Anolis sagrei: one gene and its partner. The protein of the gene in region 1 purifies or fractionates together with the protein of each later gene. This does not show direct contact. Links are inferred from orthologs where the notes say so. Each region holds a gene or a part of one and is shown on either strand. Other genes may lie near its edges. The genes, in order: BPTF and HMGXB4.

Region 1 (16,702 bases):
AATAATGAACCCCACAACGATGAATTAGTGAAGCCATGTGGACTTCATTCCCAGTTTCAGTTTTATTTTTATTTACCTCCCCTGGAATGCTACAAAGAGACCATACATACCTCAGACTTCAGGGAAGGGTAACACCTTTGTTAATACAATCCCTTCACAATATCCCAGGAAGTGATATGGAACACACAACCAGCTTACGCAAGAGCCTCTGGGTCTTTTCCTGTTTTTCCTGATATGATCAGGTTTAATCCTAGGAACACTTCCTCATCTCAGTCACCAAATTAGATCCCCTTCGGGGGTTCCCATTGAGATTGCCAACACCTTGAGCACCTTTTGTTTACCCAACTGGCACACATTGTTTTAACCAGAGCTGGGATATCAAGACCAACTGCATCCCCTTCAATCATGCCCCTATACTGGATGTATCAATAAATTGACACAAATCTTCAAAATAACCCAATGACAGTTTATAAAAGTTTTCCACCACAGTTAAGACCAACCAACATGGCTAAAGATCTTTGAAAGTAAAAAAAAAATCACAAAAAATTATAAACAATTATTGGAGTGGAGCACTGAAAAAGATCTGATTAAAAACTGCATGATCAAATGGGCAAAGGACATAGGAAGAACAATACCGCTAGAGGACTGAGAAATAATGTGGAATAGGAGAATGAACTATACCTATGCGTACGCTCTTAAAGAGAATTGGATTAAAATGCTTTACTGATGGTATATGACTCCACATAAAATAGCGAAATTCAATAAAAATGTGAATGATAGGTGCTGGAAATGTGGGAAGTGTAGAGGGTCCTTCACCCATATGTGGTGGACCTGTGAAGTGGCTAGATCTTATTGGATGGAAATCTCAGAAATTTGCCAAAAAGTACTAAAAAAGAAAATCCTATTCAAACCTGAAAGTTTTCTTCTAGAGATGATAGATATACAGTGGAGTATCAATGAAGACAGGCTCTTTTCCTATATGATTACAGCAGTGAGAATAGTCTACGCTAAGTCGTGGAAACAAGAAACTAGGCCACAGATAGAAGAATGGATAATGGAAATTATGGATAAACTGACATATTTACTGACAGAGGCCCACAATAAACATATGAAGAAGACGGATTGGACACCCTTAAATATTTGGATGAAAGAAAATAAAGTACTTCTATTAATAGAACAGAAACAACAACAAGAATAAATCTCATTTATACAGACTCACTGCCAAGGAAATGAAGAGTAGAGAAATGTTTACTGTAAATGCTTATATGGTGAGAGACGGAAGAACACCCCCCCCCCCAAGTGTCTTCCCTACCCCTGTCTTCCCTCACCCCCTTCCTTTTTCCCGTACCCTAACGCACTCCCCTCCCTTTTCAAAGCTGTTTTTATTGTCAATGAAAAACCATGAATAAAATTATTAAAACAAAGACCAACCAGGGGAGTAGATCTTAGCTGGCCACATGTCCGGCCAATCAGAAGCCAGTGCAGTAGTCTTGAATGTTAGAAATAAATCTTTAAAATCAAAATGCTAGAAATAAATATTTTAAAAATAAATGTTCGCAATTGCAGTATGTCTATTATTTGGAGCACCGTCTCCACTGACATCCTCTTTTGCCATTGAGAATAAAGCCTCTGTTTTTGCTTCATCTCATCTGTGCCTCATCTGGCTTCCTGAAGGCTTGATACATTGGGCTCCGAACCTGTGGTCCTTACAGAAGCTGAAATCCCATAACAAAAGTATTAGCAGAATAAACCATGTGTTATATGTTGTATATGTGAGTCAAATGGTTATATGTTAGAAAAGGGAAACCTTGCCAATCAAAGTTGCCAAAGTGGAAACATTATTTCCACCACCTCCAAATGTTGTTGTTGTTCATTCGTTCAGTCGTCTCCGACTCTTCGTGACCTCATGGACCAGCCTACGCCAGAGCTCCCTGTCGGCCGTTACCACCCCCAGCTCCCTCAAGGTCAGTCCAGTCACTTCAAGGATGCCATCCATCCATCTTGCCCTTGGTCGGCCCCTCTTCCTTTTGCCTTCCACTTTCCCCAGCATCATTGTCTTCTCTAGGCTTTCCTGTCTCCTCATGATGTGGCCAAAGTACTTCAACTTTGTCTCTAGTATCTTTCCCTCCAGTGAGCAGTCGGGCTTTATTTCCTGGAGGATGGACTGGTTGGATCTTCTCGCAGTCCAAGGCACTCTCAGCACTTTCCTCCAACACCACAGCTCAAAAGCATCGATCTTCCTTCGCTCAGCCTTCCCTAAGGTCCAGCTCTCACATCCGTAGGTGACTACAGGGAATACCATGGCTTTGACTAGGCGGATCTTTGTTGCCAGTCTGATGTCTCTACTCTTTACTCTTTTATCGAGACTGGACATTGCTCTCCTCCCAAGAAGTAAGCGTCTTCTGATTAATGTCCAAATGATTAATGTTAAAAGATACCATAGTTTAAATGGTCTGCTTTCCCTATTTTCTATCGCCCAGTCATTGATCACAGCCATTTGTGTGCTTGTGTTCGGAACAGAAAGAAAAGGATATCACAAATATCATGCAGAGAGTGAGAGGAGGCAAATGCATTTTCTCCTCCGCTATTTGAATGGGAGAACCTACTTCTTTGTACTATGTATCATAGGTGACAAATTCGGGTGCTTCTCTGTTAAAAGGTAGGCCCAACTGTTTTGTTATGTATTTGTCTTTCCCTTTTGTGGTAAGAGCTGTCTGTGGAGAGCTTTTGTACTAAGAGAGCTTTTGTGACAAGCTTTTAGTATTCCTTTGGCTTTCAAAGCACAATTCTGAGGACTGAGATTGGGAGACCTCTATAGGTTGCCATGAAGTGAAATGTAATTTGCAAAAGAGATGGGTTCAAGCTAGCCTTTTGTTTTGTTATTGCACTGGATGGCTAAATTATTTAATGCCTACCAACTCTTACCATCAGAAAGTTCCTCCTGATGTTTAGGTGAAATCTCTTGTCCTGCAATTTGAATCCGTTGCTCCATTGTGTCCTAGTCTCCAGGGCAGCAGAAAACAAGCTTGCCCCTTCCTCAATGTGACGTCATGGCTATTATGTCTCTTCTCAACCTTCTCTTCTGCAGGCTAAACATACCCAGCTCTTTCAGTTGTTCCTCATAGGGCTTGGTATCCAGACCTTTGACCATTTTAGTCTGGACACCTTCCAGCTTGTCAATGTCCCTCTTAAACTGTGGTGCCCACAACTGGATGCAGTGTTATTCTAGGTGGGATCTGACCAAAGCAGAACAGAGTGGGACTATGACTTCCCTCAGTCGCAACACTGCACTCATGAGTAACATGTGGCTATATTTGCAAATGGGTCTTATAGCAATGTATAGAGAATTTGGTAGTACTATAAGCTTTTCTCTCTCTATGGAAATGATACCAGATCCCTTTGCATATGGATATTGCAGACTAAAATGACCATGCCTTTGAATTCTGTCCTGGATACATAGATACTAAAACTGGCTTCCAAAACCGAAAGTCCAATTTAGACTTGGAACATGTGCAAACCCCAAGCATGCCATGGAAACATAATTGGGATCAACCATACTGTGAACAACTGTGGGGTAGTGATTCTTTGCAAACACCCCAAATGAAGTCAATTCCTGGTTTGTGTACCTGGTTTGATTCCATCGGCGCTGCCTCCGAAAAATCCTGCAAATATCTTGGGAATACAAGCGGACAAATGTCAGCGTGGTGGAAGAAGCAAAGACCACCAGCATTGAAGCGATGGTCCTCCGCCATCAACTCCGCTGGACTGGCCATGTTGACCGGATGCCCGATCACCGTCTCCCAAAACAGTTGCTCTACTCCGAACTCAAGAACAGAAAATGGAATGTTGGAGGGCAGGAAAAGAGATTTAAAGACGGGCTCAAAGCAAACCTTAAAAACTCTGGCATAGACACTGAGAACTGGGAAGCCCTGGTCCTTGAGCGCTCGAGTTGGAGGTCAGCTGTGACCAGCAGTGCTGCAGAATTTGCACAAATGGAGGGCGAAAGAGAAAAACATGCCAAGAGGAAGGCGCGCCAAGCCAGCCCCGACCAAGACCACCTTCCACCTGGAAACCGATGCCCTCACTGCGGGAGAAGATGCAAATCAAGAACAGGGCTCCACAGTCGCCTATGGACCCACCGCCAGGACACTACACTTAGAGGACCATCACCCTCGGACTATGAGGGGTCGCCTAAGTGTACACCTTACTTCTTCAAGGTTAGAGAGCACGGAAATTTTTACTCTAAAGATCTCTCTAAACCTGATGCTAGCACTGTATGGAAGTAATGTGCCTGGATGCAGAATGGTTGCCGAATTGTTAATCTCTTCTCTGGGAGGCTGCAAAGTGATGGCCACCAGGCTGGCTTCTTTTCTAGTAGATTTTATTGTATTAACTCAATGTTTTAATTATTTATAATTACTGTTTGTTGTGTATTTTATTGTGTTTAATTGCAGGCATCGAATATGTGCCGATTGGAAGACGACCTGAGTCCCCCCTAGAGGGTTGAGAAAGGCGGGGTAAAAATACCTGAAATAAATAAATAAATAAATAAATATTATCAGTGAAGACTGTACCCTTTAGTGTACTCATTGCGGCTACTTATTAAATTTAAATCCCGACTTTCTCCCAACATAGGAATCAAGGCAGTGTACAGAACAACAACACAATACATTTTAAATCCTTAATACACAAGTTAAAACACAAATAAAGTAAATTTAATTTTTTTAAAAACACAACTGAAAAACACTAAAATGTTCAAAACACAATAAAATATAGTACTAACACACAGAGACTTCTCATTAAAAGCTCTATCTGCTGCAATATACTGAAAACTAAATGTCTTCTTAAATAAAGAATGGACATTGCCTGCCAGCAGATGGAGTCAACCTGATTTCCGATGTAGAAAGTTCCACAACTGGAGAGCAACCACTGAGAAGGCTGTGCTCTTTCATGTCCTCTATGTTATGACACAATATAAGGCAGAAATGGTTAAGATAATACATTCTTAAGTGCTTTTCATACAATCATCTGTCTATCTGTCTGTCTGTCCGTCCATCCGTCCATCCATTTTGAGGGGGAAGGGGATAGGTTGATATATTTTTAAGCTAAGGAGGCTGTTAGTAAGGTGGCTGTTCAAGTCCTGAACTGTAACGGACTAGATGAGGGCCAACAGATTGAAACTAAATCCAGACAAGACAGAGGTACTCCTGGTCAGTCAAAAGGCTGAACAGGGCATAGGGTTACAGCCTGTGCTTGACGGGGTTACACTCCCCCTGAAGGCGCAGGTTCGCAGTCTGGGAGTGATCCTGGACTCCTCGCTGAGCCTGGAGCCCCAGGTCTCGGCGGTGGTCAGGGGAGCTTTTGTACAATTAAAACTTGTGCGCCAGCTGCACCCATACCTTGGGAAGTCTGACTTGACCACGGTGGTCCATGCTCTGGTTACATCCTGTTTAGACTACTGCAACGTTCTCTACGTGGGGTTGCCTCTGAAGACTGCCCGGAAGCTCCAATTAGTCCAACGAGCAGCAGCCAGATTACTAACAGGAGTGCTGGTGTTAACCTATAAATCCCTAAACGACTCCGGCCCAGTTTACCTGTCCGAATGGATTCTCCCCTATGAACCATCAAGATTGTTAAGATCTTCTGGAGGGGCTCTGCTCTTGGTCCCACCATCCTCGCAATCACACCTGGTGGGGACGAGGGACAGGGCCTTCTCGGTGGTGGCCCCTCGGCTCTGGAACTCTCTCCCACTGGAGATCAGAACTGCCCCTTCTCTTTAGAAAACAGGTGAAAACCTGGCTCTGGAAACTGGCATTTGACGAGTGAGTTAATAACCCGTGACTACACAGACGGATGGTGATGAACTACGATTTCATTTTGAAGACTTGGCCTATGTAATTATATGATTGTATTTTAGTATTTTAATGTTTTAGTGTATTATGGGATGTGATGTTTTTAAATGATTGTCTGTGATACTATTGTTGTGAACCGGCCTGAGTCCCTCTGCAGAGGTGAAAAGTTCTAAATAAATAAATAAATAAATAATAAGCTCCCCTATTAATAAGATAGAAAATTTTAAAATATGTGTATATTGTATTGTATTGTTTAATTGAATGCTATGTTCACCTGCTTTGCATGGGCAGACCTATGCCAAACAGGGCAGGTATACTCGGCAATTGAGTTTACAGTTAGGCGATCCCTCGTTGTCCGAGGATGATGGTTCTCCAGGGTCAGTGTGCAGTATGTGGTGGATCCATAGGTGACTGTGGAGCCCTATTCTTGATCTGCATCTTCTCCCACAGTGAGGGCATTGGTTTCCAGGTGGAAGGTGGTCTCGGTCGGGGTTGGCACCTTCCTCTTGGCACTTTTCTCTCTTTTGCTCTCCATTCATGCTTCTTCAAATTCTACAGCACTGCTGGTCACAGGTGACCTCCATCTGGAGCGCGCAAGGGCCAGGGCTTCCCAGTTCTCAGTGTCTATGCCAGAGTTTTTAAGGTTGGCTTTGAGCCCATCTTTAAATCTCTTTTCCTGTCCTCCAACATTCCGTTTTCTGTTTTGAGTTCGGAATAGAGCAACTGCTTTGGGAAACAGTGGTCGGGCATCCAGATAACGTGGCCGGTCCAGCAGAGTTGATGGTAGAGGACCATTGCTTCAATGCTGGTGGTCTCTGATTCTTCCCAAGAGATTTGCAGTATTTCCCAGAGACAGCGCTGATGGAGTCATTCCAGGAGTTGCATGTGACGTCTGTAGACAGTCCACGTTTCGCAAGCATATAGCAGGGTTGGAGGGACAACAGCTTTATAAATAAGCACCTTGGTATCCTTACGGATGTCCCGGTCCTCAAACACTCTGCTTCATTTGGAAAAATGCTGCACTTGCAAAGCTCAGGCAGTGACTTTGGTGGTGCCAAGGTAGCGGAAATGGTCAACATTTTCTAATGTTACACTATTAAGCTGTATCTCTGGCATTGAGTAAGTAAGACAGACCACAGCAATGCGTGGCCGTCCCCTGCCACACATTGCTGTGGCCCAGTCTGTGTATATGTTTTGTGTGTGTATATATGTGTTTATGTGTTTGTATATATTTGTGTATATATGTGTGTGTGCATATATATATATATATATATATATATGGGTGTATACATTTGTGTATTTCTGTGTGTATGTGTGTATATATGTGTGTTTGTGCATATATATGTGTGTTTGAATGTGTGCATGTGTATATGAGTATATGTGTATATGTATATATTGTGTATTTTTGGGGTTTTTAAGTCTGTTTAGCTGGGGTTGTGTGTGCTTGTGTGTGTTTATTTAGGGGTGATGGTCACTTGTTGGACTGTTAGGTGTATTGTGTCCAAATTTTGTGTCAATTCGTCCAGTGGTTTTTTAGTTATGTTAATCCCACAAACGAACTTTACATTTTTATTTATATTGATATCCCAGTTCAAAGCGGAAAATATGGGGTTTTATTCAGCTGTGTGGAAGAGGCCTCAGATAATCCTGTACAAGGTGATATTGTGGATCATCTGCCTTGATCTCCTGGGTTCTGTGGCTGTGTGGAAGGGTGCAGAGGGCCCTTCCACACATCCATATAACCCAGAATATCAGTATCTGCTTTGAACTGGGTTATCTAAGTCCACAATGCCATATAACCCAGTTCCATGCAGATATTGTGGATGATCTGCCTTGATATCCTGGGTTCTGTGGCTGTGTGGAAGGACCATATAACCTAGAATATCAGTATCTGCTTTGAACTGGGTTATCTGAGTCCACACTGCCACATAACCCATTTCCAAGCAGATATTGTGGATGATCTGCCTTGATCTCCTGGGTTCTGTGGCTGTGTGGAAGAGCTATGTAACCTAGAATATCAGTATCTGCTTTGAACTGGGTTATCTGAGTCCACACTGCCATATAACCCAGTTCCATTGCAGATATTGTGGATGATCTGCCTTCATCTCCTGGGTTCTGTGGCTGTGTGGAAGAGCTATATAACCTAGAATATCAGTATCTGCTTTGAACTGGGTTATCTGAGTCCACACTGCCACATAACCCATTTCCAAGCAGATATTGTGGATGATCCGCCTTGATATCCTGGGTTCTGTGGCTGTGTGGAAGGGCGCTGGGAGAGGAGAGCCCTGCCGAGGCTCCTCAAGCAGTTCGAAGGCCTTCTGCTGGGCCGCCGCCGCCGCCTCGCGCAGCCCTCGCGCGCCCCCTGGCGGGCCCCCCTTGCGCGCGCAGCCCTGCCCACGTGACCCTCCCAAGGCCTGCCGCCGCTTCCCCGAGTCTGAGGCGAAGAAGAAGAAACAAGATGGCGGCCGGCGGCGGTCCGGAGCGGGGCGCCGGCGCTAGAGACTGAGCCCTTCCCCGGGCCGGGCCTCCGAGCTCCCTGCCGGGCCTCCGGGTCTCGTCCCCCAGCGCGGGGAGGAGGCGCTCCCGGAGCGCCCGCCGCCCTTCTCCAGCGGCCTCCCGAGCGGCCTCGCAGTCTCCCTCAGCCTGCCAGCCAGCGCCCAGCGATGCGGGGACGGCGAGGCAGGCCGCCTAAGCACCCGCAGCCGGCGGCTTCCAGAAGCGGGGCCTCGGCTGCCGCTGCGGCTTCCCCCACGGGGCCCACCGGGGGGCTGAGGTCGCGCCTGCGGGGCAGCAGCCGGGGCAGGTGGGCGGCCAAGGCCCAGGCGGGCAAGGCGGCCGGGCCCAGGCCGAGAGGGGCGGCGGCGGCAGCAGCATCAGCGGGGGGCTCTCCTCCCACCCGAGGGGGCGGCCGGAGGAAAGGCGGCGGAGGGAGCAGCACCCCTGGCGGGGGAGGCAGTAGTGGCCGGGGAAGGGGCAGGGCGGCCGCAGGAGGAGGAGGAGGCGGAGGCAAGAGCCGCCACAGCAGTAGTCAGGGCAGGGCCTCCTCTTCCCGGAGGAGCAGCAAAGTCGTGTACGACGACCATGAGAGCGAGGAGGAGGACGACGAGGAAGAAGAAGAGGAGAGCGCGTTATCCGAGGAGGAAGAGGAGGAGGAAGAGGGAGCCGACTCCGAGGGGAAGCCCGGCTCGGATGAAGAGGAGGCCATGGAGGGCGAGGAGGAGGACGAGGAGGTGGTGGTGGTGGAAAACGAGGAGGAGGACGGCGGCGTCGGTGCAGGAGGCATCCCTTCGGACTGCCCCGAGGAGATGGAGGAGGAGGACGACGACGATGGCAGCTACTGCACCGAAAGCAGCTTCAGGAGCCACAGCACCTACAGCAGCACCCCAGGTATAATCATAGAGTTGGAAGAGAGAGAGAGACCACATGGGCCATCTAGTCCAGCTCCATGCACAATCAAAACACCCCTGGCAGATGGCCATCCAGCCTCTATTTCAGTGTTTCCCAAACTATAGTTCCCTAGGTGTTTTGGCCTACAACTCCCAGAAATTTATTTTATTTACAGCATTTATATTCCGCCCTTCTCACCCCACAGGGATGGAGCCCCTGGTGGCGCAGTGGGTTAAACCCCTGTGCCGGCAGGACTGAAGACCAACAGGTCACAGGTTCAAATCCGGGGAGAGTTGGATGAGCTCCCTCTGCCAGCTCCAGCTCCCCAAGCGGGGACATGAGAGAAGCCTCCCAAAAGGATGATAAAAACATAAAATCATCCCGGCGTCCCCTGGGCAAGGTCCTTGCAGATGGTCAATTCTCTCACACCAGAAGCGACTTGCAGTTTCTCAAGTCGCTCCTGACACGATAACCCCCCCCCCCCCACAGGGGACTCAGAGACTCATATATAGCAAACATTCAATGCCAATTTTGGCATACGACGTATACAGACATACACATAAACAGACATATAAAGACATATACATAAATTCCAGCACCCCAGGTAGAATCATAGAGTTGGAAGAGAGAGAGAGACCACATGGGCCATCTAGTCCAGCTCCATGCACAATCAAAACACCCCCGGCAGATGGCCATCCAGCCTCTATTTCAGTGTTTCCCAACCTATAGGTCCCTAGGTGTTTTGGCCTACAACTCCCAGAAATTTATTTTATTTACAGCATTTATATTCCGCCCTTCTCACCCCGCAGGGGACTCAGGGCGGATTACAATGAACACATACATATATGGCAAGCATTCAATGCCAATTTTGACATACAAGGTATACAGACATATACATAAATTCCAGTCAGTTTGCCAGTTGTTAGGATTTCTGGGAGTTGAAGGCCAAAACATCTGGGGAGCCACAGGTTGAGAATCTGCTCTATTTAAATGCCTCCAAAGGAGGCGCCTCCACCACACTGCCAGTGGTTCTCAACCTGTGGGTCCCCAGATGTTTTGGCCTTCAACTCCCAGAAATCCTAACAGCAGGTAAACTGGATGGGATACCTGGGAGTTGTAGGCCAAAATACCCGGGGACTCACAGGTTGAGAGCAGGTTGATTTAATTCAGGGGTCCTCAAACTATTATTTATTTTGCACATTTCTACCCTGCCCTTCTCAACCCCCGAGGGGGGACTAAGACCCGGGGGCCAGATACAGCCCTCCAAGCTCATTTACCTGGCCCTCGCTCAGGGTCAACCTAAGTCTAAAATGACTTGAAAGCACAGGATAACAACAATTCCATCTCATCAGCCAAAAGCAGGCTCACACTTCCCATTGAAATACCAATAAATTTATATTTGTTAAAATTGTTCTTCATTTTAATTATTGTATTGTTTTAAAGTGTTTTGCACTACAAATAAGATATCAGTGTGCATAGGAATTAATTCATGTTTATTTATTTTTTCAAATTATGACCTGGCCCTCCATCAGTTTGAGGGACTATGACCTGGCCCTCTGTTTAAAAAGTTTGAGGACCCCTGATTTAATTGATAGTGCAATATTGTTGTTTTCTGTTGGGTTTTCGTATGTATGCGATGAGGTATTAAATTTTGCCATGAATATGTTGGAAACCACTTTGAGTCCCCCTGGGGTGAGAAAAGCAGTATACAAATGAAGTAAGTAAATAAATAAATAAACCACTGCTCAGAGGGAAGGAGTTCCTTCTGGGAGGGCTCCCTGAGGGCCATCCAGTCCAAACCCTATTCAGCCATGCGGGAGTCCAGCACAATCAAAGCATTCCCCACAGAGAGCTATCCAGTCTCTGCTTAAGTCTATTTAAATGCCTCCAAAGGAGGCGCCTCCACCACACTCTGGCAGTGGTTCTCAACCTGTGGGTCCCCCGATGTTTTGGCCTTCAACTCCCAGAAATCCTAACAGCAGGTAAACTAGCTGGGATATCTGGGAGTTGTAGGCCGAAACACCCGGGGACCCACTGGTAGAGAACAGGTTGATTTAATTGGTAGCGAAACGTTGTTATTGTTGCTTTTTCATATGTATGCAATGAGGTATTCAATTTTGCCTTGAATATGTTGGAAACCACTTTGAGTCCCCCTGGGGTGAGAAAAGCAGTATACAAATGAAGTAAGTAAGTAAATAAATAAATAAACCACTGCTCAGAGGGAAGGAGTTCCTTCTGGGAGGGCTCCCTGAGGGCCATCCAGTCCAAACCCTATTCAGCCATGCGGGAGTCCAGCACAATCAAAGCATTCCCCACAGAGAGCTATCCAGTCTCTGCTTAAGTCTATTTAAATGCCTCCAAAGGAGGCGCCTCCACCACACTCTGGCAGTGGTTCTCAACCTGTGGGTCCCCCGATGTTTTGGCCTTCAACTCCCAGAAATCCTAACAGCAGGTAAACTAGCTGGGATATCTGGGAGTTGTAGGCCGAAACACCCGGGGACCCACTGGTAGAGAACAGGTTGATTTAATTGGTAGCGAAACGTTGTTATTGTTGCTTTTTCATATGTATGCAATGAGGTATTCAATTTTGCCTTGAATATGTTGGAAACCACTTTGAGTCCCCCTGGGGTGAGAAAAGCAGTATACAAATGAAGTAAGTAAGTAAATAAATAAACCACTTATCAGGGAGTTCCTTCTGGGAGGGCTCCCTGAGGGCCATCCAGTCCAAACCCTATTCAGCCATGCGGGAGTCCTGCACAATCAAAGCATTCCCCACAGAGAACCATCCAGTGTTTGCTTAAAAGGTTACCACCTCACTTATGAGGCAGTACACCACTCCTGTGTGTTTTTATTTTTTGAGGGTAAGGAGAATATGTTATATGTATTGCATATACCAATTTAAAAGGTTTTAATGATTTTAAACTGGGTTGCTGTGAGTTTTCCGGGCTGTATGGCCATATTCGAGAAGCATTCTCTCCTGATGTTTTGCCCACATCTATGACAGGCATCCTCAGAGGTTGTGAGGTTTGTTGGAAACTAGGCAAGTGGGGTTTATAAATCTCTGCAATGTCCAGGGTGGGAGAAAACCCTTGTTTGGTTGAGGCAGATGGGAATGTTGCAATTGGTCAGTTTGATTAGCACTGAATAGCCTTGTAGTTTCAAAGCCTGGCTGCTTTCTGCCCAGGGGAATCCTTTGTTGGGAGGTGTTAACTGGCCCTCATTATTTAATGTCAGGAATTCTCCTGTCTTCTGAGTTTTGTTCTTTATTTACAGTCCTGATTTTATATATTTTTTTAACACTGGTAGCCAGATTTTGTTCATTTTCATTGTTTCCTCCTTTCTGTTGGAATTGTTCACATGCTTGTGGATTTCGGTGGCTTTTCTGTGTTGTCTCTGTGTTTTTAAACTATTTTAAAGTGGTTCTCGAGTTTCATACTATTTCACGTCTGTAGGTTTTGATGTGTATGTTGTGTTGTTTTAGTGCTGTCTGCTACTTTGAGTCTTAAGAGGAAAAATGTCCTATAAGTAGTAATAATAATGATCTCTCCAGGGTGGCCGGAGGGTCACTTTGCATGCCAGGTTGGAGGGGGTTTTAATGGGTTTGCAAAGCAGGCGGTTCTGGGGCAGATGTGCATCCTCTGCAAAAGGGTAAATATTAAGCATGGTGGAGTCTCCCTCATTACCCAAAAAGCTTGGGGCCAGAAGTGTTTGGGAATTCCTTTCTCCTAGATTTTGGAATATTTGCATTTGCCTGAAGAGATATAATGGAGATAGGACCCAAGACTGTACACAAATTTGTGTTTCTTTTACTTCATATAAATCAGTGGTTCCCAACCTTTTTTTGACCAGGGACCACTCTCCAACATTAGTATCAAAAGGGTTACGAATCAGTTTTTGGTTGATTTTAGATTCAATTTGGTTATTTGGGCCGCTGAATCAGAAAATTGCATTGGCTAGACTACATCAGCTCTAGTTTCTGATACGTATATGCTATCCAGTAGTCGTCATCTGCTAACCCACAGAAAACCATATTTAATAAGCCTCGGCACTATAAGAGAGTTTCATGAGACCAGTCACTCTCGTTGCACCGTTGTAGTAATGGTGAAGCTGTGGACCGTATTTGATTTCTTGCAGACCACTGGTGGTCCATGGACCACAGGTTGGGAACCACTGATATAGATGGAAGGTGACTTTAGGCATATTATTTTAAACATAATTTTGTTCATGAAATGATAGATGATAGATCTTAGCCATCCATGTCATCTATTTGGAGTATTTTGGCATTCTGATTAAGGGATGCTCAACCAGTGCAAAAAAGGGTCTTCTGTCACAGATGTGTCTCCAGAAACGTGGCAGAAGTTTTAGAAATTAAAACTTTAAAAACCATGGGGAGTGCTTGATGGTGGGAGGGACTGAGGAAGTCAGCAGGAAGTAAGCATTGCCTGGCAAGAAAGATGCCTGTATCACCAATTTGTAAAAACAAAAACAAAACAAAAAAGCCCAACAGCAATAAAGGAAGGAAGCATGTTCAGGATGCCTTTGACTTCGATAGAACAAAAATATTTTAGCAGATACCAGACTGTCGATATGTAGGTTTGTTAATGGAAAGATGAAAGCAGGTGCATTTAGAATGGAAATAAAATCAGTAAGTAGTAACGAGTACCAATGAGTTGAATATAATGAAACCCATCTGTATTTTTTTATTTTTTAAAGACAAAGTTATATCTTTTTACTACGATTGGATAACTTATCCAGTAATTTCAGTTTCAACCAATTTGGTTACACAAAACATTTTTATTTAGTTGCATTGCTCTTTTTAATTTTCTCTGATATTGTAAAACCTCATATTCGGCTTTTAAAAAAGTTATACTAAAACTAGTATATGCTCGACTTCGAATAGTTTGCAGAATGTGCTTTACATCGTAAATAGGTTTTTGGGAAAATGTTATTACATGACATCATGTATGTTTAACTAAAAAGTTGGCAAGAGTGAACCTTTCCAAAATTGTCTTATCTAGACATATATGCTTTAGAACACTGCTTCATAAACTGTGAGTGCTGAACCCAAATGGAATCAGTGTTAGGGTTGTGAAAAATTTGGCAGCATTAAAAGGTTTCTGAATGCCACCTAGACATATACAGAAATCTGTTAGCAACAATGTGTAGTGTTTATAGTGGACTTTGCAGAAGATGCTTCAGCTGTACTTCATAAAAAGGAAAATCAGCCTGTTTAGGAAGCCTTGCCAAATTTTGATTTGTCATCAACCAGTGTTTGATCCTATACCTATTTTATATATCTATATACCTGGGATCACATAAAAATTTCTTAGTTGAAGAAGGGTTCTGAGTGGGAAAAGCCCTACTTTAGAAAATATGTAGGAATGAGGATTGAGATTTACATACTGCACGGTAAGGTGTCAAAAAGGCAGTTCAGTGCTTAACAATTTGAGGAAAACAAGATATACTATAATGAAATTTTCCACTTTACTCAATAAATAATAGTTTTGTGAAACTTCATGAAAGTAGCTTTAGTGGGTATTATTTTGTGCGACAACCATAAAAATATTTCTGCTAGTTTTGTATATTACGATTTTGAATTTTGAAAAATACTCTAAAGGTATCGCTTCTTAAACTGTGGGCCCAGACCCCAAATGGGGTCCCCTTCACTCAATGTTGGTCCCTAGAACATTTCTAATCAATGCCTAGTGGCTGTTTTAGACATTTAAACAACTCTTTTGTGCAGTGTTTACAGTAGACTCTACAGAAAATGCTTCTGCTGTATTCCACAAAAAGAGAAGAAAAAAAGCCTATTTAGCAATCCTTGCAAATACTGACTTCTTATCAGTAAATGGTTGATTTTTATATTTGTTTAATATATCTATATGCCTGGAGTTACATAAACATTTCTCAGGCCAAAAGTAGAAACAAGTTTAAGAAGCCCTGCTCCAAAATACACTTGTTAGAATGCTTTATAAATATAAATTTCCTCTTGGATTATTTCATAGTATCAAAATTAATTTATTCTATAAAAAAGGTTAAAACTTTGTTTAGGTATTAGTGTTTTTTATTTCACCAAAGGCTTATGGGCTACCACGGCTCTTATCACCTTTCTGAGATGACTACACTGAATTTCCAAGCCACAAAATCTATTGGTTGTGATGGATAGGGTGGCAAATATTGCCAACACCTGTTGACCTGCTTCATGTATAGAGTTACACTGGTGCCTTAGAATATGTATCAGATTATATTCTTAAAATGCTGAAAGTGTTACAATATAAAACAATTCTCACTTTGAGTTGTATCTGAAAATCCAGAGTGGAGAGCCTCTGCAACCTTTTGTTTGATAAAGTTCATATCATTTGGTAAACATTTTCATAGCATTTTGGTAACATTTTCATTTTTTGGTTAAAAGTGATATGTACAGTAGGATTGTGTACCTCCCAACATGACTGCTGCTAGCATTTTATCCAAACTTATATGTTACATTTGTTAGTAGCTTGATCAAAATAACTTTCCAGTCAGAGTCAACCTAAATCTGACTGGAAAGTTCCATCCACGGTGTCATGAGCCAACACCATATCACAAAGAAATTCTAGCGCTTCAACCAAACAAACCCAGGATATGCCTTCTTCATGATTAACTTTGCACATGTTCCATCCAGTTATGCACATCAATATGACCGGAGCTAAGTTCAGAGGTCTGAGTTACACATTTTCTCAGACCCTCTTTTGAGGCTCAGGCCATTCTGCACTGCTATATAAAATCCAAATTATCTGCTTGAACTAGATTATATGATAGTATAGACTCATATAATCCAGTTCAAAGCAAATAATTTGGACACTCTGTTTTGATAATCTGGATTATATGGCAATGTGGAAGGGGTCGCAGTGAAACTCCCCTATAATTAATATCCCTTACAGATATGGGAAAAAACCTGTATACTAGTGTGATAGATTCCCCCCCCCCCCCCCCAAAAGATCCAGGCATGTAACATCATTGCCACTGTACATATCCTGAACATTTATTTGCTATACTAGATTATCTTTGGGGAACCAAACACATTTATTTTTTCTATAAGCCTCAACGACCACATTTGCATTTATCTGTTTTATATTTCATAAGACTCAAACCATGAAATGCTATGAAATAACAGTGATTAAAATTAACATAATTAAAACCTTTACTGAAAGTGCAGAAAGTTTGCCAACAGTTAGGGAGGCATCTGGGATATTTGCAAGAGGGTTATGTAAGTGGAGTCCTTTTCTTTTTTTGTTTCTTTTTTTCTCTGTCGGGTTTTTGGCTGAATTTTTGGCTGTATTGGAGTGGAGGCTCTTTGGGTAGCAACTTGGTGGACACTAGATTGTAACTAGCCCCTTTCCTGCTGTCACCCATTCACCATGTATATATAAATAGAGATGTTTCAATTTTTTTAAAAAAATCTAGAAAACCTCTGATACCAAGCA
Region 2 (16,508 bases), on another chromosome or scaffold:
CCCTTCCACACAGTCATATAACCCATAATATCAAGGCAGATAGTCCACAATATCTGCTTTGAACTGGGTTATCTGAATCCACACTGCCATATAATCCTGTACAATGTGGATTTTATACAGATGTATGGAAGGGGCCTGAGTGTCTTCCAGCTTGATATTCAGAAACAAATACCCCTGTACCAACCACATCCATCTCTTTTTCAATTTTGATTTAAAAAATTAAATAAATTGTTTTACAAAGTGATTTTTAATGCATACTCTTGTTTAATTTTATAGTATTAGATTAGTTGTTTTGAATTTGTCATTGAATTTGCTCAGGCTAGCCTCTCCAACTGACTTGCTTATAACTTGCAAATATATATTGTGTATCCTGCACTCACTCCATTGTGATCACCTGTACTAAATCATCAAGCCCATCATAGATTATTTTGCATATTGCCACACCACATTCCTTTCAGTCATACCCCTCTCAGGAGCGGGCCATTAAACAGACTGATACTTCGAATTCACAAATGATGATTTATTGAATTTTCCACCAACAGCAAGACCCAATTGGAGAAACTGCTCCACAGAGTCCTCAACCAACTGAAGGACGGATCCTAGCCAGTGTGGGTTTCAACCAATCAGCTACTGGCGCAGGTGATCTGAATATCTGTCAAAATGAAATTAAAATGCTCTGTATTCTCTACTGTGGTATGCCAATCTTTGAGAGTGCAGATTACGCTGACATTCTTTCTGGTCAGGAAGAATAAATACCTCTGCTTTTGCCTTCTAACCCTTCCATGTCCTGATTTCACCTTCTGGAGTAGCTAGGTGCTCTGGGCTTCAAAACTCGAAATTTTGTAGTTAGCTGACATCACTTAACAATGTAGCACAAACACAATACATTTTTAAAACCTTTTAAAGGAACAAACAATAAACCAAACGTTGTGAAATGTAAATAATAGGTGTTGCTTTGTCTTATCTCAAGCAATGAGGCATGGAAAATAATGGAAAGGGGAATTCTGCTTTCCCTCTTTTCACGGTTTTCTCCTAGGACTTTCCGTTCCTATATTCACTCCCCAGTCTGAGTATAATTAATGTCTAATTTTCAATATGAATATAGCTAGATTTCATACAAACAACATCTTCCATTCATTTATCTATCTCTGGAATAAAAGCATGTCTGTTAATTTTTCATTTTTTATCACAACCATCAATGAGGGTTTTTGAGCATTGATAATGGCAGTTCTACTAGCCTTCAGAGTCTTTTCTCCATGATTTTTCAACCAGAAATAATACTAGAACAGAAAACATGAAGCAAACTAGAAAAAAACAAAAATAGGTTCAGTGACTGACATTTCTAATTTTCTTATTTATTTGTACTGGGAGGGGAAAAACACATTATTTTGACTGAATAAAATGGAAGGCACAATACATCAAAAGCATCCATAGTCTTCTAAAATTAATATAGAACTTTAGCGGACTGTGACATTAATTACACGGATGGAAAAAATACAACAGTACTATATTCAGTTATTTTGTTAGTAATGTAAGATTAGTAACCCAGGGGCTCCACAAATATCTTCCAAACCCTATACCTTTTTTTTAAAAAAACTTTTTCTTGAAAAGGAACAAACAATAAACTTAACTTGTGAAATGTAAGTAACAGGTGTTGCCTTATCTTATCTCAAGTAATAAGGCATGGAAAATAATTATGGAAGAGAGAAATCTGCTTTCCCTCTTTTCACCGCCTTCTCCTAAGACTATCTATTCCTATACTCCCCAGTCTGAGTATAATTAATGTCTAATTTTCAATATGAATATAGCTAGATTTCATACCAACAACATCTTCAATTCATTTATCCTTGTCTCTGAAATAAAAACATGTAAGTGGCAGTTAATTCTGCCAGTTTTACCAAAACCATCCATGAGGTTGTTTGAGCATTGATAATTGCAACTCTACTAGTCCTCACAATCTTTTCTTCATGTGTCTTCAACCAGAAATAATGCTGGAACAGAAAATTAATAACCGTAAAGCAAACTAAAAGAAAGAAAAAATAAGTTCAGTGATGGAACTTTCTGATTTTCTTATTTATTTGTTCTGGGAAGGAAAAAAAAACACATTATTTTGACTGAATAAAACAGGAGACACAATACATCAAAAGCATCCACAGCCTTCTAAAATTAATGTAGAACTTTAGCAGACTATGGCAATACCTACATTAATGGAAAAAGTACAAAAGAACTATATTCAGTTATAAGCTTATCACTAATATAGCATTAGCAACCCAGAAGCTCCACAAATCTCTTCCAGCTGCTCATTCCATAATAATATTAAATAATAAACTCTATTTGTATACCGCTGTATCTCCCCGAAGGGACTCAGGGCGGTTTCTAGCATAGGTAAAGCATTCAATTATCAACAGAAAATCATACAGAATAATCATTATAAAACATAAACATAATACTATTAGAATAGTCATACGTATTTAAAATTTAAAAGCCAGTTCCAGTACTAGTCAATCGGGCAAAATTCGACTACCAATGGTCAGAATTTCAGAGTGGGCCTAGACAACTATGAGAGAGCTGGCTAGTGCAACAAAGTAGCATAGGACCGGGGGAGTGGTTAAAGTGCAGAATAGGGTCTTAACTGATGGTCAGGGTAGGACCTGGGTCTACTCACTTCCAAGACCTGCTGAACAACTATAAGAGGGCTGGGCCAATGGGGAAATCCATAGTTGTGGGCGGTCAGTGAAAAGATCCTCTGGGCGATAGTCGCCAGTCAGGTTCCAGCTGGTTGGAGGAAGTGTCCACCAGACCAAAGTGTCCTAAAGGGCAAATAGTGCAGGGGATCCTGTAGGTAACTTGGTTCCAAACATGTAGGTCTTTAAAGATCAAAGCCAACACTTTGTGCCCAGATACTAATTGGTATGAGTGTAATATGCTCACTCCTAGATGTTCCTGTAACCAATCTAGCTGGCATGTCTTGAACTAACTGGCGTTTCCTAACTTGATGCAAACTACAGAGGTAACCCAATGTACAGTGAATTACAGAAGTCTATTATTATATAATTATGTTATATCTACAAAATAAGGAATAAATTCACACCTTTTGTGGATAAATATAACAATTTACTTTTATGTTTTGGGGTGTATTCATGTTTGTTTATTTATTAATTTATTTACCACATTTGTATATCGCCTTTCTCAGCCTGGAGGCGACTCAAGGCGGTTCACAGTCGGCAGAGATTCGATGCCTTAGCAACTATAAAAATACAGTTTAAAACAATTATAAAAACAATTAAAACGTTTAAAATGTGATATAAAAACAATACAACCTGTAAAAACAAAATAATTGGTGTCTCCTTACTACTCCTTGTCCAATTGCATCGTCAGTCATTCCATATTTTCATTTTCACCTAATTATGCTGCATTAGTTGAAAGCTTGCTCTAAGAGCCAGGTCTTAACCTTTTGCGGAATGTCAGAAGGGAGGGGAACGATCTTATATCCCTGGGGTGTTCCACAGCTGAGGGGCCACCACTGAGAAGGCCCTGTCTCTTGTCCCCGCCAAGCGCATCTGCAAAAAAGGCAGGATCGAGAGCAGGGCCTCCCCAGAAGATTTTAAGGTCCTAGATGTTCATAACTATTTTGTTTACTGCCCTCTGTGCAATATGGATTGGTGATGGAAATTTTTCTGTGCTGAACCCCTGCCATCATCTAAGGCCCCTTTGTAGAACCATTATAGTTATTGACTGTAATTGCTGTTTTAATGTTTTACTGTAATATGTATTATGATGTTTTATTGATTGTATGTGATATTATGGTTGGAAACCGGTCTAAGTCCCTCAAGAGAGGTGAGAAGGTCGGTATACAAAACTTTTAAATAAATAAATAATAGTAGGTGCTCTTCCTGACAGTTGTCACTCAGGCCCCTTCTACATTGCCAGATAATCCAGATTATCAAAGTGGATAATCCACATTATCTGATTTGATCTGGATTATATGAAACTACACTGCCAGATGATCCATTTCAAAGCAGATAACCTGGATTGTATATATTAGTGTAGAAGGGGCCTCAGGCCCTGTCTACACTGCCATATAATCCAGTGTGAACTGCATTATAATGGTCAGTGTACTCAATGTATTAGAATCTGTATTTTAATTGTATTGTGTTTTTAATCTGTGTTCCAACTATGTTGCACCCTGCCTCAAACTGTGAGGAAAGGCAAGTAACATGCTATTATTGTTATTGTATTACTAGTTTGGGTATGCAGTGATGCCCAGTGTTATTTGAAAAAGACATGGCTTGTTTTTGAATGTTAGATAGTGTTCGTTTGGTAATTTGTAACTCTATTTCTTTTTAGGAAGAAGTCAGTGTTTTCTTTTGTTTTTTAGGAATTCTCTCATTAAAAATGCATAATAATGTGAGTGAACTATAATTCCCAAAAATTGTGGGTCAATCACCCCAAACCCTGCCAGTATGCAAAGTTTGCCACATTGGGTCTGCGTGCCAAGTCTGGTCAAGATTCGTTGTCAGCAGGGTTCAGTGCTCTCCAACTTTAAATTATAACTCCCGGATTCCAGATCAATCACTTGCAAACCCCACACCACTATTCAAAGTGGGCCATACTGGATCTGTGTGTCAAGTTTGGTCCAGATCCATAGTCAGCTGGGTTCAGGGGGCTCTCTGGATACAAGGTACAACTCACTCCCAGGTGGGTCAGTCCTCCTCCCAACCCCTCCATTATGTTCTGATGGTCATCAGGGTTCTGTGTGCCAAGTTTGGCCCAGATCCATCAGAGTACTCTCTGGATGCAGTGTGAACTACAATTCCCACTCCAGTGGGTCAGTCCCTTAATCCCTCCAATATATTCAGTTAGCCATCGGGGTTCTATGTGCCAAGTATGGTCCGAATCTGCCATTGGTGGGCTTCAGAATGCTCTCTGGATGCAGAGTGAACTACAACTCCCGCTCTGGCAGGTCAGTCCCCCCACCCCCACCCCACACCTCCAGTATGTTCTGTTAGTCATGGGGGTTCTGTGTGCCAAGTTTGGTCTAGATCTGCCATTGGTGGGCTTCAGAGTGCTCTCTGGATAGAGGGTAAACTACAACTCCTATCCTGGTTGGGCGGTCCCCATAAACCCCTCCAGTACATTTGAACTGTGGTGTTGGAGGAAATTTTTGAGAGTGCCTTGGACCACGAGAAGATCCAACCAGTCCATCCTCCAGGAAATAAAGCCCAACTGCTCATTGAAGGGAAGGATAGTAGAGGCAAAGATGAAGTACTTTGGCCACATCATGAGAAGACAGGAAAGCTTAGAAAAGAAAATGATGCTGGGGAAAATGGAAGGAAAAAGGAAGAAGGGCCAACCAAGGAGAAGATGGATGGCATCCTTGAAGTGATTGGCTTTACTCTGAAGGAGCTGGGGGTGGTGACGGCCAACAGGGAGCTCTGGCGTGGAATGGTCCATGAGGTCATGAAGAGTCGGAAGCAACTGGACGAATAAACAATAACAACACGTTCCATTAATCATCAGGGTTCTGTGTGCCAAGTCTACTCCAGATCCATCATTGGTGGGGGTCGTAGGTTCGAATCCAGGGAGAGTGCGGATGAGCTCCCTCTGTCAGCTCCAGCTCCCCACGCGGGACATGAGAGAAGCCTCCCACAAGGATGGTAAAACTGCAAAACATCCCCTGGGCAACGTCCTTGCAAACAGTCAATTCTCTCACACCAGAAGCGACTTGCAGTTTCTCAAATCGCTGACACAAAAAAATGGTGGGGGTCACAGTGGTCTTTGGAAGTGGGAGCCAATAGGAAAGCTGCTGCAAACTTACATCTACTATTATTATATAGATACTAGCGGTCCCCTGCCACACGATGCTGTGGCCCAGTCTGGTGATCTGGAAAATAAAGTAATGAGAAAGTGTTGGTTTCTAATATATGTAATGTCTTTATGCTTGTGGGTAAACAGTATTTCTTGCTATTTCTTTGCCAGTGTTGATGTGGAGATTGTCTGGTTTGCCTACTCTGGGACATTCAACATATAATTGTCCTTCTTTAGGGGTCCCTTTCAAATCTATGTTACTGCATCTGTCATATACATGTGTGTGTGTGTGTGTGTGTGTGTGAATGGCTGGATGGCCTTTTGTCAAGAGAACTTTCATTATGTTTGTTGCCCTGATTAAGGGAGTTGGACTGGATGGCCTTAAGGCAGCATTTCTCAACCTGGGAAGTCAAGACCCCGGGGGGAGGAGGTCACCAGGGGGTATCAGAACAGTCACCGAAGACCACTAAAAACACACACAGTATTTTCTGTTGGTCATGGGGGTTCTGTGAGGGATGTTTGGCCCAATTCCATCATTGGTGTGGTTCAGAATGCTCTTTGATTGTAGGTGAACTATACATCCTAGTAACTACAACTCCCAAATGTCAAGGGCTATTTCCCCCAAACTCCATCTGTGTTCACATTTGGGCATATTGATTATTCCTGTCAAGTTTAGTCCAGATCCATCATTGAGTCCACAGTGTTCTCTGGATGGAGGTGAATTACAATTCCAAAATTCAAGGTCAATGCCCACCAAACCCTTTCAGTAATTTCTGATGGTCATGGGAGTCCTGTGTGCCAACTTTGATTCAATTCTATCGTTGGTGGAGTTCAGAATGCTCTTTGATTGTAGGTGAACTATAAATCCCAGCAACTACAACTCCCAAATGACAAAATTATATTTTTTTGTGATGGTGACTCCTTGTGTAGTGAGACATTTTGTTGCCAAATTTTGTGTGATTTCGTTCATTGGTTCTTTTGTTTTTAATGTACTCATTATGCACAGAGCATTTTTATATATATAGCAGTACGTGTGAAAAAGATCTTGGAGTCCTTATGGACAACAAGTTAAACATGAGTCAACAATAAGATGTGGTGGCAAAAAAAGCCAATGGGATTTTGGCCTGCATCAATAGGAGCATAGTGTCTAAATCTAGGGAAGTCATGCTACCCCTCTATTCCGCCTTGGTTAGACCACACCTGGAATATTGTGTCCAATTCTGGGCACCACAATTGAAGAGAGAGATTGACAAGATGGAATGTGTCCAGAGGAGAGCTACTAAAATGATAAAGGGTCTGGAGAACAAGCCCTATGAGGAACGGCTTAAGGAGCTGGGCATGTTTAGCCTGAAGAAGAGAAGGCTGAGAGGAGACATGATAGCCATGTATAAATATGTGAGAGGAAGCCACAGGGAGGAGGGAGCAAGCTTGTTTTCTGCTTCCCTGGAGACTAGGATGCGAAACAATGGCTTCAAACTACAAGAGATTCCATCTGAACATTAGGAAGAACTTCCTGACTGTGAGAGCCGTTCAGCAGTGGAACTCTCTGCCCCGGCGTGTGGTGGGGTTTCCTTCTTTGGAAGCTTTTAAACAGAGGCTGGATGGCCCTCTGTCAGGGGTGATCTGAATGCAATATTCCTGCTTCTTGGCAGGGGGTTGGACTGGATGGCCCATGAGGTCTCTTCCAACTCTTTGATTCTATGAAGATAAAGATTGAGATTAATGCATTTATTGTTATTATTATGTGCCTCTTCTCCGCCCATTTTACTGAGTGCTTCCCAATATTCCTGGCAGAATGGGATCTAGAAACACAACAGAGCGACCCAAAGCTGCCACCATCCTTCTCCACCCTCTTCCTGTTCGACTGAAAGAGTGAAAGGGAAATGGCAAGCTTTAGGCTTCATTTGAAATCTCGCGATAGGTTTGGAACCCTCTTTTCCGCCCTCTCGGCTCTCGCGAGATGTACCCTCCTCGTCTCGCGAGAGCAGCGGCCTGCTTCAGAGGAGTTTGGTGCGCTTTCCCCAGCGGATCTTGAGAGACCCCGTCGCGATGTTTTTGCGTCATCGTTTTCCACAGTTTGAAGTCTGAAGTCTCCCCGCTTTCTGGAAACACGCAAGTCTTCTTACTTGTGTTTAAAAAGCAGCTTTCTTTCCCTCCCGGGATACGAATCAAATAATGTTCTGCAGAGCAAACGTCTTGAGTAGCTGCTTGGCTTCCAGATATTGACAGGATGGAAGGTCATTCTTTGTTCTCAAGGGAAATGTTTCCTTTCTCAGCAGAGTTCGCTTTTAAACGGTAAGATTTCAGACTGTTAAGGTTCGTTGGTATTTTTATTATTATTTTAATGAATTAAATGCTATTTCACTTTTTTTTACTGTTTTAAATCGTTTTAAAAGAATGTTTTTGTCTCTTTTGCATTGGCTAGGGAGACCTAGAATTCTGACAGGTGATAAATTTTATCTATTTGTTTATTTATTTATTTATCAATTTTATATACCACCACTCCCCGAAGGCTCAGAGCGGTTTACAATATACATATGCAATACATTACATTTAAAATCAAAGAAAAATTTCAGTCAACAAGATTCAAATGCCAGCCTAAATAAATATGTTTTACAAGCTCTACAAAAAGATAGTAAGTCTCGTAGAGCTTGTGTTTCTGCTGGCAAGGCATTCCACAGGTAAGGAGCCACCACCGTGAATGCTCTACACCTAGTGGACATCAGGTGAAAGGTCCAAAAATTGGGAACTTCGAGGAAGTTCTGATCGTCTGAACGGAGTGATCTCGGGTGTTGGTAGGGGGTGAGGCGGTCCATCAGATATTCCGTCCCCAGGCCATATAAGGCCTTAAAAGTAAGAATCAGCACTTTGAAGGTAATCCGGTGCTCAATCGGCAACCAGTGCAGTTGCTGCAAGATTGTAGTGCAGAAGGTGTATTTTCGAAGGCTTTCATGGCTGGAATCACTGCATAGTTGTAGGTTTTTCAGGCTGTATGGCCATATTCTAGAGGCATTCTCTCCTGACGTTTCGCCTGCATCTACAGCAAGCACCCTCAGAGGTTGTGAGGTGCCATATAGCCCAAAAAACCTACAACAACCCAATTGTGGAAGGCTTTCATGGCTGGAATCACTGGGTTGTTGTAGGTTTTTCAGGCTGTATGGCCATATTCCAGAGGCATTCTCTCCTGATGTTTCGCCTGCATCTATGGCAAGCATCCTCAGAGGTTGTGAGGTGCCATATAGCCCGAAAAACCTACAACAACCCAATTGTGGAAGGCTTTAATGGCTGGAATCACTGGGTTGTTGTAGGTTTTTCGGGCTGTATGGCCATATTCTAGAGGCATTCTCTCCTGACATTTCACCTGCATCTATGGCAAGCATCTTCAGAGGTTGTGAGGTGCCATATAGCCCAAAAAACCTACAACAACCCAATTGTGGAAGGCTTTCATGGCTGGAAGCACTGGGTTGTTGTAGGTTTTTCAGGCTGTATGGCCATGTTCTAGAAGCATTCTCTCCTGACGTTTCACGTGCATCTATGACAAGCATCTCAAAGGTTGTGAGGTGCCATATAGTCCGAAAAACCTACAACAACCCAATTGTGGAAGGCTTTCATGGCCAGAATCACTGGATTGTTGTAGGTTTTTCTGGGCTGCAAGGCCATGTTCCAGAAGCATTCTCTCCTGACGTTTCGCTTGCATCTATGGCAATCATCTTCAGAGGTTGTGAGGTGCCATATAGCCCAAAAAACCTACAACAACCCAATTGTGGAAGGCTTTCATGGCCGGAATCACTGGGTTGTTGTGAGTTTTCCGGGCTGCAAGGCCATGTTCCAGAAGCATTCTCTCCTGACGTTTCGCCTGCATCTAAAGAACTAAAGACATGGATGTTCCACTGTACATTCAGCCATATAGTTCCCCCAAAAATTCTGGTTCCCAGTTTGATCCATAATTAGATTTTGCTCATTTCACTGTGCTCTTTTAGAGACATAGTGCTTTCCTTACATCCCCCCCCCCCCCCCCGGGTCCTAATCTTGTCATCTGCCATTAACACTTTAACCATCAACCCTGTCCTTTGGCAACTGATTTACACCAGCCACCACTGAAACTCGGATCCATGCACTACTCAAACCTTTGAAGGTTGTTAAATATTCGCTATGTATTGTATTCTGTGGTTGTTTTATATTGTTGAAATGTTTTATGAATTTTTTTGTTATAATTTATTTTAACTATTTGTAATCTTGGGCTTGTCCCCATGTAAGCCACCCCGAGTCTCCGCAGGGAGATGGAGGCAGAGTACAAAAATTAAGTTGTTATTATTATTATTATTATTATTATTATTATTTTAAACACAGCAAGATGAGTCCACAGCAGCCAAAATCACTCTGCTGGCTGTTATATTGTATCACACGTCGGACACTTCCCAAGTGTGTAGGACTGTGTGATGTATCGGTGAATAATGCGTGCAAATCCCAGTAAGGTGGCCTTTTGCAGCTGGCAGATGGTAATTTTGTCGGCACCGATTGTGCTTAAGTGCAGGCCAAAGTCTTTAGGCACTGCACCCAGTGTGCCGATAACTCTTTGACAACTTGGCCTTATGTAAGAACATGACTGCTTTTTAATGTATTTTTATGTATTATGTGATGTGATGTTTTTAAACTACTGTTCATGAATCTTGTTGTAAACCGGCCTGAGTCCCTCTCCGGAGGTGAGAAGACCGGTATATAAAAGTTCTAAATAAATAAATTCTAAACCACTGGGACCACCTTTACTGGCCTGTGCCAGAGTCTTTGCAGTTCAGTCTTTAAATCCTCATATCATGTCATTTCCAGTTGTTTCTCTTCAATCCTGCTGTCGCCTGGGATTGCAACATTGACGATCCATACTTTGTTTTTTAACACGATCGTGAGGTTAGGACTACTGTGCTCCAAAACTCTGTCAGTCTAAATTCGGAAGACCCAGAGTAGTTTGATATCTTCATTTTCTGTAACTTTTTCAGCTTGTGATCCCACCAGTACTTTGTCGCAGGCAGATGGTATTTGTGGCACAAGTTTCAATTATTCATTTGAGCAATCGTGTTATGCCTCTGCTTGTAGTCTGTCTGCGCAATCTTCTTGCAGCAGCTGAGGATGGGATCTATTGTTTCATCTGCTTCCTTGCAGAGTCTACATTTGGGATATGTCATCGACTTTTCAGTTCTGGTTTTGATGGCATTTGTTGTAATGGCTTGTTCTTGGGCTGCCAGAATCAGGCCCTCCGTCTCCTTTTTCAAAGTTCCATTTGTGAACCACATCCATGTTTTTTCTTTGTCAATTTGGCTCTCAGTTTTTCCCAGGAACTTTATTATTATTATATCTATGGCAGTCATCCTCAGAGGTTGCAAGGTCTGTTGGAAATTAGGAAAATTGAGTTTATATATTTGTGGAATGTCCAGGGTGGGAGAAAGAACTCTTGTCTGTTTGAGATAGGTGTGAATGTATCAATTGGCCACAGTAATTAGCATTTAATGGCCTAGCAGTTTCAAGGCCTAGCTTCTTATTGCCTTGGGGAATCCTTTGTTAGTAGGTGAAAAGCTGGCCCTGATTGTTTCTTGTCTGGAATTCCCCTGTTTTTGAGTATTGTTCTTTATTTACTGTTATGATTTTAGAGGTTTTTAATACCTGTAGGCAGATTTTGTTCATTTTCATTATTTCTTCCTTCCTGTTGAAAATGCTTGTAGACAAGAGTTCTTTCTCCCACTCTGGACATTCCATAGATATATAAAACTCACTTGCTGAGTTTCCAACAGACCTCTCAACCTCTGAGGATGCCTGCCATAGATGTGGGTGAAATGTCAGGAGAGAATGCTTCTGGATCATGGACTTATAGCCCGGAAAACTCACAACAACCCAATAAAGGAATTATTCTTAGTAAGAAAGGGGTAATTAATATTATTGAACACCTTGTTTATTTAATGTTTCATTATGTATATGTGAGGTGGGAAATGTGAAAAATGTCTTTTAAAGGGGGATAAGCTCTCAGTTAATGGGGGGCAGTATGTAAATGTGTTAAAATTGAGTAGCTTTTTGTAGCAGACACGTTTATTGGGTTGCTGTGAATTTTCCAGGCTGTATGGCCATGTTCCAGAAGCATTCTCTCCTGACAGGCATCATCAGTGGTTGAGGGGTCTGTTGGAAAGGCAAGTGAGGTTTATATATCAGTGGAATGTCTGGGGGGTGGGGGGGGGGAGAGAGAGAGAAAAAAACTCTTGTCTTTTGGGGGCAAGTCTGAATGTTGCAATTGGCAAAAAAATAATATGCTTCAGGATAAGACTTTATTTTATTTATTTTTATTGTTTTATTGTGTATATAGGAAATAAAACAGACAATAAAACGTAAAAGATATACAAAAGAATAAACAGGTTTGCAAAATGGTATGCAGCCAGTGCTCGTTAAATGTGTGAAAAATCAAAATTGGCTGTACAGTTATTATACCTTAACATATCTGTGTAGTACCTATTTAACCAAATCTCTAAAGCAAGCAATTTGGAAGCCTATCAGTTTCATGAGATATTTTAAGCTGTGTAGGAGGAAATATGTTTGATGTTAGGTAGGCATCCAGCCTTGTTTGATCCTTCCTTCTGGGTCCTTTCAGGTCTTTCCTTTTTTGAGCAATCCTTGCCTTTGGAGTCAACTTCTAAAAAGAGGAGAAAATCAATATTGAGTCCACCCTCTACTGACACTGCCATGGATCACCATAAGACCATCACCTCTCCGCTTGCCACTGGCTCCAAGTCCTCTAAAAGGCCATCGGAGAAATCTCATTCTTCATTTAGTACTTCTGGCCATTCAGAGAGCAAGAAGGAGCACCATAAGAAGAAGCTGAGTGGGAGCAGCAGTGACCTGTCTTTGGATGATAGCACTTCTCACAAGTCCAAGAAAATGAAGCCCCCCTTTGTGAATACTGAAATGTTGACCTTGCGTGAGCCTGATGGCTTAAAGATGAAGCTTATTCTTTCACCTAAAGAAAAGGGAGGAGGCATGATAGAGGAGTCCTTTCCCCATACTCCAACAATAAAAAAATCATCTAAAAAATCTAGTCGGGATGAACACAGTTCACTTCACTCAAGTCATGACTCTCATGGCTTCCTGAAATCATCTCGAAAGAAGCACAAGTCATCATCAGAAGCACATCTACCTCCAGCTCCCGAGAGCTTTAGCCCAGACACATCCCTTTTCTCAGAAGGACAAAGCACTGAGTTTGAGCTGCCAGGCCTGGAGCCACAATTGGAATCAGGTTCATCTTCTGGAGGAGAGCTGGAAGCTGGAGAGCTCATAATTGATGATTCATATCGGGAGATAAAGAAGAAAAAGAAATCCAAGAAGAGTAAAAAGAAAAAAGACAAGGAGAAGCACAAGGATAGGAAACACTCCAAATCTAAAAGGAGTTCAGGACTTTCGTCTTCATTGGTGGTAGCAGAAGTCACGGCCCCATTGCCAGTCTCACCAACAACCACACCATTTGCCATTCCTGCTCTTCCTTCTCCTCCCCTCCCACCACCGCCGCCGCCGCCGCTGCCGCCACCACCTGTTTTCCATACTGATGGTCAGAGTGAGAAGAAGAAGAGGAAGGAAGAAAAAGAGAGGGCTGAAAAACTGGAAAAGGAAAAGGTAAAATGCCATTGCAGAGTGAGTGGGTGAAAGCAATTATTGGTATGAGAGTGAAATTAGACCTGAACTGAGCAGCCACAGATACACAATCAGAATTCAGATTTTATAACAGATGTTTTATGCATGCAAAAGTTGATGCAGGTGCTGTTTTTTTATTATTAGTTATGAAAAAACCCACATGCACACACATACACCCCTAAATAATTTTCTTCCTACTGGCAGACAAAAAAAGTATTGCATGTCTTTGAGAAGTACTCAGTTTTTCCCCCAGAAATCAGTGTCAAAACAAATTTGTCACAACATTATCCTTCTATTTTATGCCAGTGTTTTTGTAAGTATTTAGCTAATGCATATCAGATGGCAGACATTTGAAAGAAACCTGCTTACTTGTGAAAGAGACACACATAAACCTTTTCTTTAGAAATTTCTACTGGCACCAGAAATGTGTTGATACAGATATACACTATAAAATATTCCCTCCCCCTCCCATTTTCTTTTAGCCAAAGAAGAAAAACATGTCTGCCTACCAAGTGTTCTGTAAGGAATATCGTGTGAACATTGTGGCTGAGCATCCAGGAATAGGTAAAATAGCAGGATATAAGGGGTCGATTTGTTTATTTGTATTTCTTGTATTTTTCATTTTTCTTCATCTGAACTCTTGGGATATTCCCCTAGGTGTAAAAGGCTCTCTCAAACCCACTGATTAATTGAAGTGCTGAGCAACAGCTATTCCTTAATATCCCTGACCACAAGACAGAAAGAATGTTCGCTTGCTCGCAGTTAAATTTGAAGAATCTGGGAACATTGTACAACCCCCCCCCCCCCCCCAAAAAAAAAACCACACACACACACAATTGAAAATGATAACGATGTAATAAAAACATTAAGACCAAACAGTAAACAGCAAGCTTGTAACCAGGAACAGACTTTTACCTAAACAGTTTGAGAAAATAAAAGGCCAGAGAAGCCCCAAATGGGGCACCACCACTAAAAAGCTTTGAAGGTGAGGTGTGCAACTGTGACCATCCAGATATTATTGAACAGAGCCTGTCATTGAACTGAATCATTGGTGAGGGATAATGGGTTTTCCAGCTCTCCTTTCAAGCAGAAAGCGAGAAACTATTTATTTCAGGAGTGACATATTCTATTTATCCAGAGACCCTATGTATAGTTTCTTACATTTTATCGTAACTGCCGTTTTTGAGTATTCTTCTAATGTAACCCCCCCAATAAAACACAGCAGTAATTGCAGTACTCGGAACACTTCACAAAGAAAGAGGTGTAGTTATGCATAGTGTAACCCTATGTGTTCCAGGTGGGATTCTGGAGCACTGATCTGATCTGGGCAATAAATGTCTCTTCAGATGATACGCTTGGGAGAAACTGTAAAATAAGTGGTCTGTTCAGAAAACATGAATGTAAAAGTAGGATGCATTTAGGCAAGGTTTTTATAAAGGAAATTTGTATGAAGTGAGTGAAGATAGATTCAACAGTTACTACATGTTCATGTTCAGAAATAGACCCTCTTCACTTTGGTAGGATACACTCCCATGTAAGTGTGCATAGGCCTAGGGAATATAACTACCATGGAGTGGGGAGAGGAAGTGAGGGCATTGCTTCACAAACAACAATTCTGCCCCTCCCCCCCCCCCCGTGAAATTTTTCTTTTTCAAAAATTTAGCATTACAAAGTGAAATAATGAAAAGTGTTAACAGCTAGAACTTTTCTATTAGTTGTGTTATCATCCCCTTAACAACTTTGCCTGCTGCTTTTTCTTCTTCCGATGCTTAAAACTGTATTTTTAAATGTTCAACCAAGTTTGGGATTCCTGCAATCATAGTAATTTGGTTGGCAGAATACTTGGGACAGGAGGATGAAAAGAAATAATCACCTTATTCCCCACTCCGTAGCTATGCCATTTTATAGGACTGCTGTCTGAAGGTTGGGGGGAAAGGATGACCTGGTTTTGGTTTAGTGCTATTAGATATTAGTTAAAAACAATGTTCTGGAATAGTAAGCCAGACACTGTTAACATTTTTAGTGGTAACAAACATAACAGCATTAATATTTTGTGTCACCTTTGGTGATTTGATAGTGACAGCTGTTCCCAGATAAGGGTGATATGGCCCCTATGGTTCATTGTTCCATTATATTACACTAATTCTTTGTACAAGGGACTATCCTTTAAGACAACCTGGAAGCTTTACCTAGTGCCAAGATGTTTACAGGGCTCCTCAAATGGGATCACATAACACTGATTCAGAGGGAACTGTACTAGCTGCCCTGTTGCTTCTAAACCCAGTTCAGGAGCTCGTACATTTCTGGAACCTAAATAATTGAATACTTCTCTCTGTACCACTTTACCTATGGCTTCATTTATTTAAATAAGGCTGTTAGTATTGGAGTATTGGAGTTTTTAATCAGATAACTTAAGTCATTGGGGTTTCCCTCTGTTGGAAAAGTATCTTAAGTATTTTGATAACTCTGTTGTCATTAATACAATTTCATGAAAAATCTTCAGTAAGCAGTGTAAGGTCCCAATTTTGTCGATATTATTTGAAATAGACTGAAAGAAGCTCCATCTGTGCATCACTGGATGTTTTTGCTTTGTCATTATTCGTAACTTTTACAAGCATTGAGTTGTTTTTACTGCTATGTCAGTGAAAAGTCCTATAATCTTTCAGGCTATCAACTAAATAGTCATCAGATTCCTCATCTAAGCCTGAAAATCTGTTTTTGCTGTTTCCCTTTTATTACTCTGAACTCTTTACTTTTCTGCTAGATTTTGGTGATCTGAGCAAAAAGTTGGCAGAAGTTTGGAAACAGCTTCCAGAGAAAGATAAGCTGGTAAATATCTGGGGTAAATAACTTGGTTTGGTCCTGTGATTTTATCATATTTCTGCCATTTCTTCACTGTTCATTTTTTATTTGTACAGAATTACCCCTTGCTAGTGATTCTGAAACATTGGCATCCAACCATAACAAAAGTATTTGGCTGATACTTTGCTATGTAGTTGCCCCATCAGAATAGTTGGACTGCTAACAATGAGATTTTC

Evidence for each region.
Region 2: the proteins of BPTF (region 1) and HMGXB4 fractionate together in Homo sapiens (co-fractionation; 3 studies listed by BioGRID, with this or other methods). This does not show direct contact. The link is inferred for Anolis sagrei from reciprocal best matches to the Homo sapiens genes BPTF and HMGXB4.

What each region holds. Positions count from the first base shown.
Region 1 is NC_090022.1:180,067,085-180,083,786, reverse strand, and holds the start of BPTF (nucleosome-remodeling factor subunit BPTF), read left to right. Parts: upstream 1-8,267; 5' UTR 8,268-8,515; coding exon 8,516-9,239; intron 9,240-16,702. UniProt on the Homo sapiens protein: Regulatory subunit of the ATP-dependent NURF-1 and NURF-5 ISWI chromatin remodeling complexes, which form ordered nucleosome arrays on chromatin and facilitate access to DNA during DNA-templated processes such as DNA replication, transcription, and repair.
Region 2 is NC_090025.1:167,417,953-167,434,460, reverse strand, and holds the start of HMGXB4 (HMG domain-containing protein 4), read left to right. Parts: upstream 1-8,015; 5' UTR 8,016-8,103; intron 8,104-12,436; 5' UTR 12,437-12,528; coding exon 12,529-13,452; intron 13,453-13,952; coding exon 13,953-14,034; intron 14,035-16,234; coding exon 16,235-16,299; intron 16,300-16,508. UniProt on the Homo sapiens protein: Negatively regulates Wnt/beta-catenin signaling during development.